Sus scrofa: one gene and its partners. The protein of the gene in region 1 purifies or fractionates together with the protein of each later gene. This does not show direct contact. Links are inferred from orthologs where the notes say so. Each region holds a gene or a part of one and is shown in the gene's direction. Other genes may lie near its edges.

What was found.
Region 2: the proteins of FAM53C (region 1) and DYRK1B purify together in Homo sapiens (affinity purification with mass spectrometry; 3 studies listed by BioGRID and IntAct, counting the BioPlex papers as one, with this or other methods). This does not show direct contact. The link is inferred for Sus scrofa from reciprocal best matches to the Homo sapiens genes FAM53C and DYRK1B.
Region 3: the proteins of FAM53C (region 1) and DYRK1A purify together in Homo sapiens (affinity purification with mass spectrometry; 8 studies listed by BioGRID and IntAct, counting the BioPlex papers as one, with this or other methods). This does not show direct contact. The link is inferred for Sus scrofa from reciprocal best matches to the Homo sapiens genes FAM53C and DYRK1A.

Annotation. Positions count from the first base shown.
Region 1 is NC_010444.4:140,328,689-140,335,739, forward strand, and holds the start of FAM53C (protein FAM53C), read left to right. Parts: upstream 1-1,912; 5' UTR 1,913-2,189; intron 2,190-5,547; 5' UTR 5,548-5,699; coding exon 5,700-5,777; intron 5,778-6,162; coding exon 6,163-6,220; intron 6,221-7,051.
Region 2 is NC_010448.4:48,310,031-48,317,081, reverse strand, and holds the start of DYRK1B (dual specificity tyrosine-phosphorylation-regulated kinase 1B), read left to right. Parts: upstream 1-2,558; 5' UTR 2,559-3,086; coding exon 3,087-3,516; intron 3,517-4,769; coding exon 4,770-4,933; intron 4,934-5,978; coding exon 5,979-6,098; intron 6,099-6,194; coding exon 6,195-6,383; intron 6,384-6,757; coding exon 6,758-6,905; intron 6,906-7,051. Other genes in the region: FBL (rRNA 2'-O-methyltransferase fibrillarin), read left to right, coding at 1,016-1,128, 1,942-2,087, 2,196-2,220.
Region 3 is NC_010455.5:201,138,677-201,145,627, forward strand, and holds part of DYRK1A (dual specificity tyrosine-phosphorylation-regulated kinase 1A), read left to right. Parts: intron 1-279; coding exon 280-566; intron 567-3,529; coding exon 3,530-3,676; intron 3,677-6,411; coding exon 6,412-6,552; intron 6,553-6,951. UniProt on the Homo sapiens protein: Dual-specificity kinase which possesses both serine/threonine and tyrosine kinase activities. Exhibits a substrate preference for proline at position P+1 and arginine at position P-3.

The DNA of each region.
Region 1 (7,051 bases):
AAATAAAAAGAGGGATCACCTAATGGTGAAGATCAGAGGTTTTAGAGCCTAAGACTGCTTTCCTCCCACATCCACCTCAGCATGCTGAAGTTCCTGGGCCAGGGATGTAACCCATGCCACAGCAGCAACTCAAGCCACTTCAGTGCCTTACCCCACTGCACCACAAGAGAATTCCTCAACTGCTTTTTAATACCTCTGTCCATCACTGTTAAGGGAGTCACTTAACCTCTCCTGCTGTTTTATCTGTCAAATAGATTTTTGTCTCATTTTATTATTGTAAACAAAAATGAGAATACACATTTAAAGTATGCATCATGGTGCCTGAAACATAAGTGCTCCACCAACAGCAGTTATTGGAAACCATGTCTGTCTTTTTTTTTTTTTTTTTTTTTTTTTTTTTTGGCTTTTTAGGGCCTCAATTGGGGCTTGTGGAGATTCCCAGGCTAGGGGTCGAATCAGAGCTACAGCTGCTGGCCATAGCCAGAGCCACGCAACGCAGGATCTGAGCCGCGTCTGCAAGCTACACCATAGCTCATGGCAATGCCAGATTCTTAACCCACTGAGCAAGGCCAGGGATGTAATCCCAACCTCATGGTTCCTAGTTGGATTGTTTCTGCTGCACCACCAACAGGAGCTCCAGGAAAACCATGTCTCTTGTACTTCATGCCCCTGTGCCTTCTTTTGCTAAGGGAAATGTGCAGGGCAAGCAAGTGTGCAGTATATTCCCCCCCCCATTTTCTTCATAAATACATCACTTTCCCTCTACTTTTCTTTTTCAGCTTGCAGATTTGGTGGCTCCTGCCTCCTCCCTTTCCTGGATCTGTGAGGAAGATCCCCACCACTGGCTCTACGTTCTAGCTGATTACAATTATCTGTCCCAAACTTGAGTGGAGCACAAAATATTTAGGGAAAACATGTCTTTCAGAGGACTTGTTGCTGAATGTGACAATGAAATTACTTGCAGTACTTCTTTCCAATCGATTAAAAATGAAGTCTAAAACTCTGTCCTTTAAGAGATCATAACACGAAGGCATTGTTTAACCCACCCCATCTTCCCATTTTTTTACCGTCTCTCTAAACCTTCTCGATAGCTGAGACTCAAATTGACATAAGAGCCAGAAATCACCCAGCTTTTCCACAACCTCTTCACCTACTACTATATTCAGATTCTTAAAAAAGGACTGAAACTTTGGCTGAGGTGGGAGGTGGTGGGAGTGGTGGAGATTTTGTAAAAGGTGGTTTCCTCTTCCTGAGGAGAAAACAGAGCCATCAATATTTTCCCCTCATCTGTCTGTTTGCTCCCTCCCTTTCTGTCTAAAGGAAAGTGGTCCAGCTGTAACCACCATAATTTTCCCCTCCCCCTTCCCCCTCCCCCACGCAAGCAACTGAACCGCCTATGATGTCATAATCACAATCCCATTACCTCATCCTGCTGGGGGGGGGTGCGTAGGGGAGGAGGAGTGAACAGCCCTGGGCCCTGGTCAGCTTTACGATATTTTGGGTAACGGCTAATTACAGAACCAAGTAGGAACGGCCCCGCAACCGTTATAAGTCCTGGATTCTTAAGGCTCGAGCCGATCTGGCAGCTGGGAGAGGGGCTCTGGGACTCAGAGCAGGCCCTAATCGGCGCTTGGACTACACTTCCCAGAAGCCTTCACGCCGCGGACGGGTCCTCTGCTAGGAGAAAGGGGATTCCTTCAGAAAGGCGGCTGTAGAGGGTGGGACAGAAGAGCAGGTGAGAGGAACCTGAATTAGTTCTTTTACACTACTGGAACCGAGTTGAGGGCTGTAAGTGGATCTATGTAGTAATAGAGGGCGAAGGCGATGGCTTTGTTTACCTTCAGCCGACGCGGCCTCCCCCGCGGGTTTCGACGTTTGCCTCCAACTGGGTCAGTCCACCTTCTCCAATATGTTGGAGGGGGTGACTCGATAATGAGGAACCCACCCTTGTAGCTAAGTCAAAGAGCCGGGCCTCTTCCCGACAGCGCCATCCAAGAAGGGCTTTGAGAGATAAACGACGCGGTGCTCGAGCCCCCGCGGACGGTTCGGGGGATTCTGCATATCGGGGTGATCTCCCCGCTCTCCTCAGGGGCCCGTTGGTTCGCTCCGGCGCCTTTTAAGGGCACCGTGGGGCGAACCGAGCGCTCAGAGCTGCTCTGGCCGCGGCCCTGGGAGCTGGAGGAGCCGCGGTAGGTGGCGGAGGGCAGGTGGCGCTGTGGCCTCGGGGCGGGCACCTCGACCGTCCCTCCCTCTTTCCCTTTTTCCCCTCCCCCAGCCTGGCCGCCTGCGAGGCAGGGCCTCGCTGGCCGCCTCCGCGGGGAGAGCACGGGACCCGGTGGGGGAGGGGGTGGCGGAGTGCTAAGTCCCAGACCCTCTCCATCCTCTGCGTCCTGAGTTCGCTTCCCGCGGCCAGGTGATGGGAGCTGATTGGGAAGAGACGAGCGACAGCCCCCATGAGCGTGCCCTGGCGCCCCCCCGGGGGGGGGGGCGGCAGCGGACGCCCCATGCCCCACCCCGCCGGGACAGGCAGGGCAACCGAGGGAGAGGTTGAAGATTGGAAGGGGGGCCTAGCCTTTTGCTTCTTCATTGGGGTGGGGGGAGGGGTGCTCCCCACTTGTCACCCTTATCCCCACCAGTGCCATATGGAGGAAGAGCAGTCAGGTCCCTACATACCTGTTCATGCACCTCCATGCCTGCCTCATGTTTTCCTTAGTCTCCCCCAGAGCTGTGGGACTGGGACCTAGGGGGAAGGTCCCCATGGGTTTTTGACTCTCCTCCCCTTTGGCCTCACTTGATCCTAGGTTCTCCAGGTTTCAGCACAACCTCAGCATCCCTGAAACCCTAATGTCAGGGATTACTGCCAACCCATGGGGTCGGGGTGGCAGGGGTCCAACCTTTATTTGGGGGGGTGATGGTGGAGAGAAACCCTGGATTGAGAGTTGGGCCTGGTGGGGTTTGGAGGAGGGCCTAGCCGCCTGCTGCTCTGTGTAGGGCTGAGCCCCGTGCCAGTTGTTAAGCTGAGAAGTTTTAACTTGTTTAGTGAACGTTCAGGGCTGTCTGCCCCTCAGATACACAAAATGGAAGGGGAAGGAAGGCGGCAAGAGAGGGCTTCTTACACTTTTTTCTATGCCTGCCTGAGAAAGAGGAGGCCCCTCGTGGAGCTGGTTTGCCTTCTTTTGTGTCCTGGTTTGATTCCTTATGGCTTCCGTTCTGTTCCCCCTCTCAGCCTGGCCTGTTTTAGGAAACTCAGACAGAGAGTATCAGTTGCGTGGTGGTAGTTGCATTGTTCCAATTACCGCCGTGTGTGGCCACATCCCAACAATTAAAATGCAGAAAAACACAAAATCACTCTCTTCCCTTGATCCCAGAGAGGGCTAGAAGTTTGCTGTTTGGCTAAATGCCTCATGAAGAGCTTAAAAGAGTTTTGCTTCACTCCCTGCTCCTCATGGCTGGTCAGCTTGAGGCCTGGGGTGTCTGGGGGTAAAAGCCTGCAGTTAGGTTCCCTCTCTGGTTGATTTTTGAGGGCAGAGTTAAGAAACCAAGAGCAGAAGTGATATAAGCTTTAGCTTCTACAAGAACATAGGGGAAGCAGCCGAAAGGAGCTCCCAGGAAGCTGGAACTCTGTTCGGAGTGGTAGTAATAATTATGCATGAAAATGTTATTTAGCCATAGTGATGACTGACTTCTCCAACACCTTTTTTCCCTTAAACTCCAAGTACACGAAGGTGTATTTCTTTGCATTTCCTTGTGGTCTGCCTTCTTTTGAGGTGAGAGTGGGTAGAGAGGATCCCCTCTTTTTCTGCCTAGGTAGAGAGTGGTCTGCCCTCAAGGTCACAGAACAACCCTTTTGGGCTTCTCTTGGTGTGCAGGTGAAGGAGGTTGGGATCCAGCCAAGTAGATCAACCCAATTGCCTTCTTCATGTTGGTATTAGCACTTTTGGCATTCTGAGGGTTTGTAGAAGATCAAATAGGAGGGATGAGAAACCCGGCAGTTTGTGTGGACTCCTGATTTGTATAGGCTTGGATGTATACTTTTTACATAGTGATATTTGGCATAATATTTTTCCAGTGACAGAGTGTGGTTATTCTGCCCATTTTACCTATGAGTAAACTGAGGCAAAGAAAGGTTAGATTTGCCAATCGGACCCATATTTGATTTCTTTTTTTTTTTTTTTTTTTTTTTTTTTTTTTTGCTTTTTAGGGCCATATGGAGATTCCCAGGCTAGGGGTCTAATCAGAGGTACAGCTGCTGGCCACACTGAGTGAGGCCAGGGATTGAACCCACAACCTCATGGTTCCTAGTTGGATTCATTTCCTCTACGCCACAATGGGAACTCCTTGATTTCTTGATAGTTGTATCTGCTAGCAAATGTTACTTAGACGTCTGGTGTGCCGTCTGCCTGCTGGTCATTTCTGGGAATAGGCAGAACAGTTTGGAAATGTTAGGTTAACTTCCCCTCCTCCCTTGAGCAAGGCCCCTCAGGCAGTTGTGTGGGTTTGAAGCCTGTTCTCTGATAGAATTTGTTTGCTTCTGCTGTAATTGACCATGAGAAAGAGTCTTGATTAATTGTATTCATGGTCTTTGAGTCAGATCAGGCTAAAAACTTAGTTGAGTGAAGTCAGAGTTGTTTTCAATCTCTCTAGAGTTGAAATGTAAATGGAGTCACCCTGGTACCATTTCCTTATTCTCTTATGAGAGAATATGTACAGTATCTGTTGGAGAAGAATAATAAGATAGCAGCTCTTGAGGCTAAGGAGAACATAATACCTTGTTTACTCTGATTGTTTTGAAGCAGAAATTCATTCCTACAACCACTGTTCCTCTTTGTTCCCTATTAATATTTCTGATGTTTAGGAAAAGTTTACCTCTCTTTGCTTATGACTAGAAGATAAAATATTGGACTAATCAGGACAGAAATAACAATTTGGGCGTCTCTCTCCTTTGAGCTGGTTTTTTGTTTGTTTGTTTGTTTGTTTTTGTTTTTTTTTTTTGTCTTTTCGCCATTTCTTGGGCTGCTCCCGCGGCATATGGAGGTTCCCAGGCTAGGGGTCGAATTGGAGCTGTAGCTGCCAGCCTACACCACAGCCACAGCAACGCGGGATCCGAGCCGCATCTGCAACCTACACCACAGCTCACGGCAACGCCGGATCGTTAACTCACTGAGCAAGGGCAAGGATCGAACCCGCAACCTCATGGTTTCTAGTCGGATTCGTTAACCACTGTGCCACGACGGGAACTCCTGAGCTGTTTTCTAAGTGGTGCCAGTGTTCTGGATATGCAGAGCAGGGCATGAACCAGGTTAGGAGTGGCAAATAGGTTTCAATTTGCTTACCAAGTCCATTTCATTTTACTGGTTATCTGGACTACCAAGTTGAGAATGTTTCTGAGGCCATGTTTAGGCTTAGCATGAAAGAGCTGTTGTCAATTAATGATGTCTGCCAGAGGCCTGACATAGGGATGCTGTGGTATGTGTGCCATGCATTTTCTATCTCTGGACTAGGTACATCTCTAATATCACTTGGGGCTGGTCCCTCTATAATTGGCAGACTCAGCAGGCATGACTGGAGAGGGAAGTCCCAATGGTGCTAGAATGGTGCTGCAGTGGCAGAAGACGGCTCACGAGTGAGGTCTGGAAGAACGACAGGGAAGACATCCATCATTTGCTCCACAGTGTGCAAGTCAAATCCCGGGGAGAATCATGATAACCCTGATCACTGAGCAGCTACAGAAGCAGACTCTGGATGAGCTGAAATGCACACGCTTCAGCATCAGTCTGGTAAAAGACCAGTCTTCCTGCTTCTCCACGACCCCCTCCCCCTTTTTTCTGAGGCTGTTTGTTGTTACTGCTTCACCCTCATCCTGTGCTCTTTGAGTCATAATACTTGTATTGGAAGAGCCCATTAGAGGTTCAAAACCCAGCCCAAAAGGAAGGGGGCAGGGATTTTTCAACTGTTAGAGAAGGGACACCAAAATCTGGGTGGAGAAGGGTTTGAGATACTGTTTGATGTGGATTATCTCACTAACTTTGGAAAAACAAGAAGAAGAGAACACTTAGGGGTCCCTAACATCTGTATAGCCCATAAATTGCAGGGGTGAACTAGAGAGGGCTTCCTGGAAATCTGTCCTGATTCTGAATCATGATGGATATTTCTGTCTCTTAGCCTTTGCCTGATCATGCAGACATCTCCAACTGTGGGAACCCTTTCCAGCTTGTGTCTGGTAAGATGTGTATATTTGTGTGTATGCCTGTGCCTCCATCCATACATTTTTTTCATTGGTTTCCCGTAACCAGGACCAGCTAGCCCACCTCCACAGCTATCTTGCCAGGATCACCCACTGAGATTGGTGCTAGTCTCCATTTTACTGCACCAGCATGTTTTTACCTGTTTAGTTTGCCCTTATTCTAATGTCATGGAGACTTTTATAATCTTTTTTTTTTTTTTTTTTTTTTTTTTAAGGGCCACACCTGGCATATAGAAGTTCCCAGGCTAAAGGTTGACTTGGAACTGCAGCTGCCAACCTATACCACAACCACAGCAACATGGGATCTGAGCTGCATCTGCTACCTACACTGCAGCCTATGACAATGCCAGATCCTTAACCCACTGAACGGGACTGGGGATAGAACCCAGAACCATAACCTCATGGATTCTAGTCAGGTTCGTTACTGCTGAGCCACAGCAGGAACTCCTAATATCTAGGTTTTTTTTTTTTTTTTTTGCCTTTTAGGGCTGCATTCACGGCATATGGAGGTTCCCAGGCTAGGGGTCAAAATGGAGCTACAGCTGCCAGCCTGCACCATAGCCACAACAATGCAGGATTCAAACTATGTCTGCAACCTACACCACAGCTCACAGCAATGCCAGATCCTTGACCCACTGAGCGAGGCCAGGGATTGAACCCCCAACCTCATGGTTCCTAGTTGTATTTGTTTCTGCTGCACAACAGGAACTCCCTAAAATCTAATTTTTTGAGTAGACAGTACATTTACATTTCAAAAATTTTTATTTTTATTTGTTTGTTTTTGGCCTTGCTCACAGCATATGGAAA
Region 2 (7,051 bases), on another chromosome or scaffold:
CAGAGCCCTGATTTGGATGGAATTGGAGTGGATGCACAGGCCTCTCGAGTCTACAGGAATGGAAAGGGTGGAGAGAGCCCGGTGAGGCTGTGGAGGTGGCCGTCCCACTTCATGTGTCTGGTACCCTCGGAGGGCCCTCCCCCCCAGGAACCCTCCCCCGTCCTTCCTGCCTCCCTCCAAAACACGGTACCTTTCACACTGCCCCCGGCTTGTGTGTAACCTCCTCCTTCAGAGGTCCTCACCCTCCTCTGGGGAGATCATACCCCAGAAAGCACAACTGAGCGTGGCCTGGCCCAGAGGAGCCCGCTGTGAATGTCAATGACCTTGGTTTTTAAAAAAAAAAAAAAAAAAAAAAAAAAAATGCAAAAATTCAGAAGCATAGTGTAAAAATGGAGTGCCTTATAAACCACCCCCAGAGGTAACCGATATGAACATTTGATGTCTGCTTTTCCTGGTTTTTGAAAGTCAGTTTTCATTGCACCATCTTTTCCATTTTTTTTTTTTTTTTTTTTTTTTTTTGACCCACACTGCCTTAAAAATACTGCTTGCATCATCCCCCTGGTTTTTCTTTCTGTGAGTTTTTCCCCGGTGCCTTCATGCCATACCCCTTAGCCTGTGGCTTGTTTTTGTGTGACAGTCCTGCAGACTCTCTTGCCTGTACGTGCTCACCTTTACTTGCCTTTTTGATGACGTGTCTGTCTCCCCCCCAGACCCGGGAGCGTCTCGAGGGCAGGGTCCGGGTCTGACTCGTCTCTCTGTCCCCCACGCCCAGCCCGGGGCTGGCCACAGAGTAGGTGGCAACATGGTTTATAAGAGGAATGAGTGAACGGTGTGATTGAGGGTTTTTTTGGCCCATCTTGGGGGCACTGTGGAGGGAGGGGGATCAATGGGGGGAAGTGAGACTGGAAGCAGGGAGGACTCTGCCCGGAACCTGCTGGTGATGGGGCACAGGCCCCGGGGAGGAGCTGGGACGATCCTGTGGATCCAGCTTGTAAGTGTTACTTCTTTCTCCTAGCGATGGTGGATGTGATCTTTGCTGACGTGGCCCAGCCAGACCAGACTCGGATTGTAGCCCTGAATGCTCACACCTTCCTACGCAATGGAGGACACTTTGTGATCTCCATTAAGGTGCGGGGCATAGAGGAGTCTAAGATGGGGTGGCAGTATCTTCTCTCTATACCTGCCATGTAGCCAGTTAAAACTCGGGCGGGGGCGGGGGGGGGCTTCCCTCCGTCCTAATCCAGTCAGTGTGTTCCCTACCCAGCTCCCTATAAACCACCCAATCAAATAGCAAGTAATGAAAAATGTCTGCAAAACTAAAAACCTTAGGATTTAAAGAGGCAGTAGACCGTCGTGGTTCAGTGCGTGATCCCCACGTATGAGTTTGAATCCCAGTGTGTGTCTTTGAGCAGGTGACCTATATATTATGCCTGTTGCTTCACTTGTGAAATAGCAATGTTAGTCCTAACTCTTTTAGGGTTGATGTAAGGACTAAATTTCTCAATATATGTATGGAGTGTTTAGCCAAGAACCTGGTATAAATACCAGATAAATGCTAGGTACATTTTTAAAAACGTTTTATTTTGAAATACAGAGACCTCTCCAGTGTACTTTCAACCAGATTGAGCCTTTCCTAACCACTTGCTGCATTTGTTTTAGTAATCTCAGCTGCATTATTGCGATTGTTAAAGAGGAAATGGGGGCGGGGAGGGGGGGAAACCAGAGTGGAAATTTTAAACACTTGCCTTTAGATAAATAGAGCTCTGCTGAAGCCTTCCTGTTTCAAACCCAAACTACTTAAAAACTTACCTAACAAAGTCTTTCCCTACATTTCCAAAGCCTATTTTCCAACTTAAAAATTCTACTGGTTTGAAAGAGCACAACAAAGGGAAAACAGCCCCAAACCCTTGCTGCAGACTTCAGACCCTTTTTCTTCTTCAGGCCAACTGCATTGACTCCACAGCCTCTGCTGAGGCCGTGTTTGCCTCTGAAGTGAAAAAGATGCAGCAGGAGAACATGAAGCCCCAGGAGCAGCTGACCCTAGAGCCGTACGAAAGAGACCACGCTGTGGTCGTGGGTGTGTACAGGTAAGCAGGGGGCCCAGTAATCCACCAGAGCCGGGAGTCTCAATACTAGTTAGGAGTACCCCAAAGTGCTTGTAAGTTCTGAGTCCCCGCATCTGTTTCCTCTCACAGACCACCCCCCAAGGTGAAGAACTGAAGCCCAGTGCCATCTGGATCGCGAGAGACTGTGTTGCTACTGTTACACGCGTGTTTTTCTATTAAAAGACTTATGCGTCCTTCTTGTTTGCCGCTGATTGCTTGGCGACCGCTCTTAACGGGGCGCATGCGCCCTTGGTCTACTTGCGTGGTGGGGGCGGGCACTCTCCCGGTGGCACCGCGCGTGCTCGTTTCTTAGCGGGCTCTTACGCAGCCGTAACTTGGATTTCGGCGCTTGGGCGGGGTTCATAGCTTGCTGTGCTGGGAGACCAGTAAGCGCCTCCGAGCGCAGGCGCAGAGTGTTGCCCTGGGTCACGTGAGGAGAAACAGCTTGGGGGGGTGGGGGCGGAGTCCAGGGCGGGGGGGCCGGTTTGTTGTGGTCGCCATTTTGCTGGTTGCATTACTGGGTAATCGGGGCCCTGGCTCGCCGCGTCCGCCGGATACTTTCAGCCAGTGGGCAGGTCTGAGCTCGGGCTTCCCGAGCAGTTTGAGTTCCCTTGCTCGCGGCCTCAGGTAACAACGCGGCTATGGACGGAGCGGCACGCGCTCGCGGGGAGGAGGGTAGTACGGGACCCGCCCTGCCTGCGTCGCCGCGAGACTTAGCACGAGGCCGAGGGAGGAGAGGAGGGGGACGGCAGGCAGGTGCAGGCCTTGCCTGGCTATTCATAGTTGGATTCCTGGAAGGGGCCGAGCCCGAGCGGAGAGAGCTGTCTCGGGAGGGAAGCTGGGAGGGGGTAGCGGGGCCCCGCTCCCGCCCTTTGTTTGGGCTCGGCTCCGCCGGCCGCATCGTCGTCGCCTAGCAACAGCTGTCCTGGACTGTGATTGGTTGAGCTCTTGGCAGTAGTGACCAATGGCACGGTTGTTGCCATGGTAGGTGTGGACTGCCAGGTTCGGTCCAGCCCCGCCCGCCGGGTTCCCCCTGGCCGGGGCGGGCCCCCAGGGTGGAGGGCGGGACGCCGGGGTCCCCGGGGGCAGGTGGCTGCGCTGGGCGGGGCCGGCGGGGCGAGGGTTAACCCGCCCCTCCCCCGTCCACCTGCTTTCCCCTTCCCCCGCTTGCCCCGGGCTGACCCTCGTCTCCTCCTCTCCCCGCCCCCAGCGGCGGCGGCTGCTGTTGTCACCCACCCGGCCGCCTGTCCCGCTTGCCCTCCCCGCCGCGGGGCTTGCCGGGCCGGCCGGGCCGGGACAGGCGGCCGTCTTCTCACCACCGCTACCGCCGCCATGCTGGCCGCTCGCCCACACCACTGGGGGCCCCACCGCGCCCCAGCCCCCCGTGGGCCCCGCGCCAGCCCTGACCCGGGTAGGGGGCGGAGGCTGGGAGAGGGTCCTGGTGTGGGAGGGCCCCTCTGGTGGGGAAGAGGTTTTGTGGGGGAGCTCCAAGAGAGAGGGATCGTGGAGTGCAAGGCTTGACATAGGAGAAAAGGAATGACATGGGAGAAGGCCCGTGACGAGAGGATTTTGGTGTGGCAGATATTGTGGAAGGGGAGAACTCTGTAATATTTGGGAAATTTGGCCGCGGGGGCCTTCTAGGAATGGGCACCGTTGTGGATTGACCCTGGTGTAGAGAAGTGACTGGAGAAAGAGCCCTGACAGAAATACTGGTTGGGGAGGTTGAGGGTAGGATCCATGTAGGAGAGAGAAGGACGATCGGTGGGAAGAGACGCCTCCCCCTTGTTTCCATCCGAAGGAGTGGGGCCTTGATTGGGAGGGGGACCTTGGAATAATCTGGGAAGGGGGAGCCAGGCTGTGACATGGGGGAACCAAAATATGGTTTGACAAATTACATGAGGGGCAGTCCCCGATGGGAGAAAAGATAGGGAAGAAGTCTTGACAGATCTGGGGAGGGGCTCCTGGGAAGGGTGTGCCGGGTGAGAACGCCATAGGGGTAGGACTCTTAGGAAGAGGTCCTCAGATAACCTTGGTGTGGGCAGGAGGTCCCTGAGGACCCTGATCCCCAGGGCCTGCAGAGGATTCTGCTGTGGTTTGGAGGGGGCCCAGAAGACTCAAGTGGTTTGGGAGGATTCCGACTCCAGAGTTCTTTGGATTGGGGGACCTACTGGGAAGGGTAGATTTCGAGATGGAAGGACCTTGCTGGGACGAGATCCTGACATTCAGGGAAGGACTCCAGGAGGGCAGGATCATGTGTGAGGGGCCCTGGGGAGGGCGGTGAGCAGAAATGGGAAGGAGAGTGAACCCTACCGCTCTGCTGTCTGTGGTTTCTCTCTTCTCTTCCCCCCCCCCCCCAATTATTGGTGTCTTTCTGTCCTTTCCTGTCATGGCCCATATCCCTGCCTGGCTCCCAATCATTCCCTTTTCCACGTTCCTCTCTGCCGCCTTCTTCATTTACTTTGTAACCACTTGAGGGGACCCGCTCTGCCTCCCACCTCCACTTCTCTCTTCCCCTTTTTTTATTGCCACCTGTTGCTCTGTTGTATCCTTTTCTTCTTCCCTTTGTGCCCTGCCTTCTTCTTCATGTCCCCCTCTCTCCTTCCTGGCACTGTCCCACACATCCCCTTGTTCCATGTTGTTCCCCTGCCTCCCGCCCGCTCTCAGGTCTCAGCGGCGGTGGCAGCCGAGGTGCAGGATGCGAGAAGGCGCCCCCCGGCCGGGCTCCCGCTCCAGGCCTCGCTCCCCTGCGGCCCTCTGAGCCCACCATGGCCGTCCCACCGGGCCATGGTCCCTTCTCTGGCTTCCCGGGGCCCCAGGAGCACACGCAGGTACGCGTTCACCTGGCTCCTCACCTGCCTGGGGTCGGGGGAGGCTGGGATAGGAGTCTTGGAGCCAAAAAGATGGTACGCTGTCTAGGACAATCTCTGGGGTCCATGAAGGGTGCCAAGGGAGTGGAAGATATAGAGGAGTTGCTGGCAGTCGAGGTTTGGAGAGCCTGAGTTCAAATCCTGGCCCGGGGGGTCGTGTTACTTAGGTAGGTTCTCCCTGCTTCAGTTTCCACTTCTGTCAAATGCAGCCTATAATTACACTTGCCTCCCACGGTTATTGTGTGGCTTGAACACGTTAATGAAATGCAGTTGGAAATGCTCTGAACAGTATCTGGCACATAGTAAATACTCAATAAATGTTCACCAAAGGGAAAAAAAGTCCAGAGAGGAAGATCTAGAGGGGGTAAAAGAGGAGGAGGGTTGAGCCTAAAGGGTCTTGGAGTCAGCAGGGCCTGGGGATGCAGGTCGGGAGCTTCAGGGGTAGAGACTGTTAGGTTTTGAACCGTAGAATCTGAAGCGGGTTGGAGCGGGAGGTCCAGGGTGCTGGATCCAGATCCAAGACCCTTAGGATGAAAAACTGGGCAGAGCTGCACAGGGTGGAGGGTGAGGGTTGGGATGGCCCCAGGGAATGAGGGTAAAGCAAGATAGGGGCCCTCAAGGGGGAATGCCCAGAAGGGGTGGTTCCAGGTGAAGGACTGGGCGGGCAGAGCCCCAGGTTTCTCTCAGATCTCCCCCACGGAGGTTTAGGAAAGAGCGAAAGGGATGGGATGAAAGGTCCGGGGTAAACCGTTCACTCCGTCCCTCTCTGAGCAAATTTCTAATGAACATCTGTGTGCCAGGCCCTGTTCCAGACACGGGACATAAAGCAAGAAGGAGATCAAGTCTCTGTCCTTGGGGAGTTTCCATTCTAGCGGGGTGGTCAGACCATGACCACATGGTCCTGCCTGTGGTCACGAGGAACCAGCTGCCCAGATAGGGCTCCCGCTTGAGGTCGGAGGGGAAGGCCTGGCCTCAGTGCCCACCTGGCCCCCCGCCCTCCCCCCAGGTACTGCCTGATGTGCGGCTGCTGCCGCGGAGGTTGCCCCTGGCCTTCCGAGACGCGACCTCGGCCCCGCTGCGCAAGCTCTCCGTGGACCTCATCAAGACCTACAAGCACATCAATGAGGTGGGCGGGGTGGGGGCCCGGGCTGGGTGCGGAGGGGTCCTGGCCTGCCAGCACAGGCCGCTCACCAGTCCGCATCTCCTGGCCGGTCCCCGGCAGGTTTACTATGCGAAGAAGAAGCGGCGGGCCCAGCAGGCGCCACCTCAGGACTCGAGCACCAAGAAGGAGAAAAAGGTCCTGAACCACGGTTACGACGACGACAACCATGACTACATCGTGCGCAGTGGCGAGCGCTGGCTGGAGCGCTACGAAATCGACTCCCTCATTGGCAAAGGCTCCTTTGGCCAGGTGTGGGATGACCCCGACCCCAGCCGTGCTCCAGGGCTTGGGAGGAGCGGGCACCACTGGTGCTGACCCCCACAGCCAGCGGTTCAGTGGCTTCGCGTTTCGTGCTGGGCCACTCACCAGCACGGTCTGGTTTCCCTGTGCCACGGTTTCTGTAAGAGCGCCTCAGTAACAGGCCCTCCACGTAAGGTTGTTGTGTTTTCTCATGTCCAGCGTTGACACGAGTGTCTGACGATTGGCGAGCTTGCAATTTGGAAGTATTAGTATCGTTGATGGTGGTATGGGTGGGTCTCCTTGGCTGGAGGGCGACGAGTGGTACCTGGCTCTGTGCCTCGCGCCCCTTTGCCCTCGTCTTGTGACGCGCCCTGCCCTGGCAGGTGGTGAAGGCCTATGACCATCAGACGCAGGAGCTGGTGGCCATCAAGATCATCAAGAACAAAAAGGCCTTCCTGAACCAGGCCCAGATCGAGCTGCGGCTGCTGGAGCTGATGAACCAGCATGACACAGAGATGAAGTACTACATAGGTGAGGCCCGCCGCAGGGCTGTGTGGGGATGAGCCACCCTCAGTACCCGAGGGGGCTGCTGTCCTCAGGGCAAGGTGTGGTTTGTAATCCCCCACATCAGTGATTTCTCCTGCCACCCTCACAGTTTTTACCCTATTCACATGACA
Region 3 (6,951 bases), on another chromosome or scaffold:
GACTTAATTTTTTTTTAATAAGGCACTTTGTTGGTACTACTTACATTATATTGCTTATTGGCGGACACTGTACACTATATGAATTCAGCAGATGAGCAGTTTAGAGGTTCTTAACTGATTAAAGAACGTGCTGTTTACTGCAGAATGCTGATCTCCAAATTTTAGTTTGATTTTCACTCTGCATTTGACGTCGTGTATAGATTGTTAGAGAGTTCATGCATGTGTTATTCTCATCTTACTGCTATGTATAATTAAAAATGAAACTTTTTTCTCTTTCAGTGCATTTAAAACGCCACTTTATGTTTCGAAACCATCTCTGTTTAGTTTTTGAAATGCTGTCCTACAACCTCTATGACTTGTTGAGGAACACCAATTTTCGAGGTGTCTCTTTGAACCTAACACGAAAGTTTGCACAGCAGATGTGCACTGCACTGCTTTTCCTTGCGACTCCAGAACTTAGTATCATTCACTGTGACCTAAAACCTGAGAACATCCTTCTTTGTAACCCCAAACGCAGTGCAATCAAGATTGTTGACTTTGGCAGTTCTTGTCAATTGGGGCAGAGGGTAAGTATATTTATTTCTGGACTTGTGAATTCAAATAGAATTGAGTAAAACGGTGTAGATAGTTAAAATGTTATTAATCTGTACACAATTTGGAGGTAATTACAAGATGGTTTATGGTTCAAATGTAGCACTTGACTCACCTTGTGTTTTACCTATTTGGCGAAAATACCTTTTAAAATGCAAATAATAATACTTTGAATTAGAATGTATTGGTTTTTCAAAGTTTATTTTAAAAAATTATCTGTATGCAAAAGGCAAAGAAAATAGGGGATGAATGTATTAAATATTAGGTGATTTATTAAAAATTTAGTTCCTGGGAGTTCCCATCATGGCTCAGTGGTTAACGAATCTGACTCGGAACCATGAGGTTGCAGGTTTGATCCCTGACCTGGCTCAGTGGGTTAAGGATCCGGCATTGCTGTGAGCTATGGTGTAGGTTGCAGATGCGGATCTGGCGTTGCTGTGGCTATGGTGTAGACTGGTGGCTACAGCTCCGATTCGACCCCTAGCCTGGGAACCTCCATATGCTGCAGGTGCGGCCCTAGAAAAGACAAAAAGACCCCCCCCCCCCCAAAAAAAAAAAGATTTAGTTCCCAAATAGAAGTTTTAGTGTAAGTTTGGGGAAATTCCAGTAATAGAAATATCGAATCCTTGCTGTAAAATATTTCACCAAATATAGCTCAAGATAAGTGTTTTTCCTCAAAAAGCTGATGGGTTAGAGTTCCTGCTGTGGTGCAGTGGGTTAAGGGGTCTGGTGTTGCCACAGCTATGGTGTAGGTCATAGCTGCAGCTGGGACTTGATCCCTAGCGCAGGAACTTCCATATGCCATGGATGCAGCACCACCACCCCCAACAAAAAGCTGATGGGTTAAAAGAAAAAAAAAGGGAGGTAATTTTGCATTACACATGGCAATGTAGTTAGAAATTACTCAGTTAGTAGACATAGTTGTTTTGATAAATAAGTTTAAATTTTTTTTCCTTTTATAAATTTTTAGACGTATCCAGACTGATTTTCCTCAGAATGCTGAAAACAGACATGTCCATAGCAATAAATAGATTTAGGTTAGATGATTTAGGAAAGATTTTTCCTGCTATTCTTTTGAGCATTATGAAAGCTACTCTAACAGTATTTTGTATATAAAATAGAATTTACAGATTCTCTTCTTGAAACTAACTAGGGTCACCATTTGATAACACTTCATTCACTTTTTAATTACTATTCCTATTTAACTAAGTATTGAAACTACATTTCTTTAAAAAAAAGTAAAAATATAACTAACATTCAGGTATCACTGTTTCATAATGGTTTTCCATTTCTTAATTTTCCAAATTAATGAGATTTCCTGTTCTGTCCAACTTTTTTCCAGCTTTTAAATACAGTAGGTTTATGGCCAGTTAACAGGATTGTCCTTTTATTACTTTCTGCAAATTATCTTATGAAAGCAGTACTATAGATCATTGAAATAATTTTTTTAAATAGATGGATTAGGAAGCAAGGTTTGCTGTTTCAGATGCCTCTCAAAATCGAGAGATACTCATAGTCACTGTGGGATAAAGTCTATTGTAAATGGAAAATACGTGCCCATCTTGAGAGTAATTGCAAAAGATTTTAGACTTGCATAGTTTTTTCCCTCTTTAAACCAAATCATATCTTCTGTCCTAATGTCAAACACTGCTGTGTCTCTCCAGCCAAACCAAGACAACTATGCCTTTAGCTCAGTGAGTTTTTACCTCTGTGAGTGTGTCAGAATCCCATGGGAATTTGTTTCTAAACTAGGCCAGCACTGGCCCTACTTTAGGTCTGCTGGCTCAGTCTTAGAAGGTGACAGGGCAAGTATGTTTCAGAAAAAGTTCCTCAGGGGATCCTGGTGCATAACTTTGTAGACAAACCAACCACCGCTTTAACCGACTGGATGGGTAGCCGACAAATTTCCTTTGATAAACTCGGAAATAAGATAGTCTCAGTAGCTTTGGGGCTTATAAAAACTTGGAAATGTAATACTTCTTCTTGGTCCCTTTGAATTAGACTTTCTTTGCTCTGAGAAGATCTTGAGGTTGGGTTGACTTGCTCGTGGAAGCCTGAGATGATTCTCAGAGGCTTAGCTGGAGTTGTAGTGGCGCCGCAGAAGCTTTTGTGAGAAAGCAGCTCCATGCTGCTGGCTGTCTGTTTTGAGTGTTAAAGTGAGAGAGTTTAGTTAGGAGGAATTTTATTTCTTTCTCTTCCTTTTAAAATCAAACTGTCTTTGCTTTTGTGATATTTCTAGGTAGAAATTTTAAGTGGCTAAGAAGAGATAAATTAGGCTCTTAAGGAGTCTCAGATCACTTCATTGAAACTAATCGGTTTCAAGGTTTTCTTCTTCGAAGAAGCCTTAGGAGTGGGATGGGGTGGGGACAAGGTAGAGAAGCGATTAGTCAGAAATGACACTCAGCTGAATCTTTAGATGGCAGTGTTTCTAGGATTTATCTGTGAAACTAGTACAGTACAGATGTCTGAATCTTCAGTTACACTGTGCTGAGTTTATGACTCCTAATGCTTTAAATTAATGTCAAGAGTGTATTTCATTCCTTAGGTTAGTTTAAATACAATTTAACTGTTAAATTAATGGTAAGCCAAGTACCAGCCATAGCAGGAAAGAATAATTAATAAGGAAATAAATTGTTCTCAAGAATATTTTCCTCTGATAATATTTTCTTTATAATTGTTTAAGATATATCTTGATTACCAGTTAGGATTGAATTAAATAAAAGGACTTGAATTTTATATATTGTGCATTTCACTCAGATTTACCACTCCCTTGAAATGTGTTTAGTTCTTTAAACAATATTCATAGACTAATGTTGAAATCAGTAAATGGAACTCAACCCAGTTGTTTTATTCTGTTAATATTAGATTTGTGTTAATACAGTGCTGACTACAATTAAAACTTATTTTGGAATTAATACTGTTTTGAAATATATTTTAGATATACCAGTATATCCAGAGTCGCTTTTATCGGTCTCCAGAGGTGCTACTGGGAATGCCTTATGACCTTGCTATCGACATGTGGTCCCTTGGGTGTATTTTAGTTGAAATGCACACTGGAGAACCTCTGTTCAGTGGAGCCAATGAGGTATGTGATGGATCGCTTTAAAAATTGTTTCTCTTTTCATGGTTTCTTTTTGTTTTTAATCTCTGACAGTGTAATATGAGAGTTGTTTAGAGGAAAAGATGTCTATTTTACCAACTTAGTCATTCAGGTGTTAGGTCAGTTTTGAACATATTTTATCCATTTTTAATTTTTTCAGTTATCATGTAATGGTGAGTTTAGAATTATGAGATGGAATGTGAGATCTTTCATTCTGCTAATGGAGAACGATAAATTAGATTGGCACATGTTAAGTACTTTGATATAAATTTTACAGATTTTAAGTAAAATTTTCAAGAAAAAAATAATCTTGAAGAAATGAGGGCCTCCCTGAAAACAATGCAAACATCCGTGTAAAACTTTGACAGTATGATTTGAAATAATGCATGACCAGTAGGGTTGATGGATGTTTGATCTGAATAATTTCGGGTAAGTTAGGACTGTAGAATTTTAGAGCTACAGACTAAGTATAATTCTTCTAGTCTGCAGGTTTTCCGTCTGCGTTCTTGGATGGTTTCGAAGGGCAGAGGCAGTGCCTGGCAAGGGGAGGAGGGCAAGAGGGAGAAAGCCCAAGCTCCCTTACAGTCAGAGGAATTGGGCGTTCATTGGTTTTAAAACTATTTGCTTGTGGGGTTCTGTTGTTTTTTGTTTCTTTCTTTCTTTTTTGGCCACCCCAGGGAACATGGAGTTCCTGGGCCAGGAGCCAGATCCTAGTCACAGTTGTGACCAACACTACAGCGGCAGCAATGCTGGGTCCTTTAACCCACTGTACTGGGCCGAGAATCGAACCTGCATCCTGGCACTGCAGAGACACTGCCGATCCTGTTATGCCACATTGGGAACTTCTGTTTTTTGTTTCTTTAAGAGAAGTTAACCATTGCAGATCAGTCCATTCATTTATACATGAGAAAAGAAAGATGGGATTCCCCCTGTGGCTCAGGGGGTTGAGAACCCAACATAGTGTCCCTGAGGGTGCAGGTTGGATCCCTGGCCTGGCTCAGTGGGTTAAGGGTCCAGCTTTGCCATGAGCTGTAGCATAGGTCACGGGCGTGGCTCAGATCCCATGTGGCTCTGGCGTAGGCTGGCAGCTGCAGCTCTGATTTGACCCCTAGTCCAGGAACTTCCGTATACCACAGGTGAGGCCCTTAAAAGAGAGGGAAAAAAAAGACTAACAAAATGTAATAAATTGTACTGGGTTATACAGCTCTTTAATAGCTAGTGTCAGAAACCTGTCCCTTCCTCTTGCCTTTAATTCAATTCACTGTAGCTAGTGAGCTGCTCTTTTCGAGTAACTACCATAGTGTAAAAAATTTGTTGTTGTTTTTGGTCATTTTAGGGCCGCACCCTCAGCATATAGAACTTCCCAGGTTAGGGCTTGAATCGGAACTGTAGTTGTAAGCCTACACCACAGCCACAGCTATGCAGGATCCAAGCCGCATCTGCAACCTACACCACAGCTCACAGCAGTGCCAGATCCTTAACCCACTGATCGAGGCCAGGGATCCAATCCGCGTCCTCGTGGATACTAGTCGGATTCGTTACCACTGAGCATAGCAGGAGCTCCCTGTTTTTCTTTTAGTCATAAAGAATATTACCCTCTTGTCACCTTTTCATGGGCATCTGAAGCTTCAGTGACTTCCACCCCACTCATGGTGGAAGTCACAGTCCTTTGAGTAGCTCGGAAAGCGCCCCGCCCCGCCTGTTCTCTCTCCCACCTGCCCTGCCGCCTCCCCAGCTCTCTCTGGCCCAGCCACATTGCCTTGGCGCTCTCCCGGGCCTGCCCTCACTGCCTTTAGGTTTTGCTTTGCTGTCACCTTCTCGGTGAAGCCTTTCCTGGCACCCTTTTTTTTTTTTTTTGCTGTTTCTAGGGCTGCTCCCGCAGCATATAGAGGTTCCCAGGCTAGGGGGCGAATTGGAGCTGTAGCCACCGGCCTACGCCAGAGCCACAGCAACGTGGGATCCGAGCTGCATCTGCAACCTACACCACAGCTCAAGGCAACGCAGGGTCCTTAACCCACTGAGCAAGGCCAGGGATCGAACCTGCAACCTTATGGTCCCTAGTCAGATTTGTTAACCACTGAGCCACAATGGGAACTCCTGGCACCCTATTTTAAGTTGCAGTTCCTTCTGACTCCTCATCCCCTTTTAATTTTCTTCATGGTTCTTAGACAGATCTAATAAATTTTACTATGTATTTATTTGTTCCTTGGCGATCTCTTCCTCTATGATAGAAACTTTGGGGCAGGGATTTTTGTCTCTTTTGTTTACTGCTGAGTTATAGTGGGCATGGTTTCTATCATATAATAGACACTTGATCTGTTGAATGAATCTGCACTTAAAAAAATACTTTTATTAGGTCCACACTTTAGTAAACCTTTTGTGTGGGGTTATTTAACTAAAACTCTCCCAAAACTTAAAAGTTTAAAAACTCCCTCCAGTCATTCCTTATTCTCCATTGGATCCATGACCACTTGCCATCCCACAGATGTATGTGTTTACTTAATTGTCTGCCCGCCCCTCTGTGGAATGTTGGGTTTCGGGAAGGCCGGGACTTTATCTCTTTTGTTCATTATTATATGCTTAATGCCCAGAGGAGTGCCTGACACAGGAGATGCTTAAGTTATTTATTATTTATTATTTGTGAATGAATGAATTGATGAGCAGAAGTAGGATGGACTACAGTAGAAATTACAGGTTTTTTTATTTTTATTTTAATACAGGTAGATCAGATGAATAAAATTGTGGAAGTTCTGGGTATTCCACCTGCTCATATTCTTGACCAAGCACCAAAAGCAAGAAAGTTCTTTGAGAAGTTGCCAGATGGCACTTGGAACTTAAAGAAGACCAAAGATGGAAAACGGGTAAAAATAAGGGAATATTTTTTTGAGCAGTCACATTTCTTTCATTGAGCTGTCTTTATAGCATATTTTGTTATTTACTTGAAATCAGTGTTACTGGTATCAGTTATTAACAGTAGTTCCATTGATAACTTAGGTACATATTTTCTTCACAAGTTGATTATAGTTTGACCTGAACTGTGTGTATGGACCAGCGTTTGCTTATAATACTCAGAATTTTCTTTGAAGCTTCATTTTGTCTGCCTTTCGTGGCAGCTGATCAAATCACCATGTCCTGTGTCAACAGTAGAATCAGTGACTTTTGTTTCTCATAGTTTGGGTATATAGTGAAGTCACAGGTATAACAGTTCTGCAGCTGTGAACATCAAAATTCATAATTGCAGTAAATGGCTTTTTTTTTTT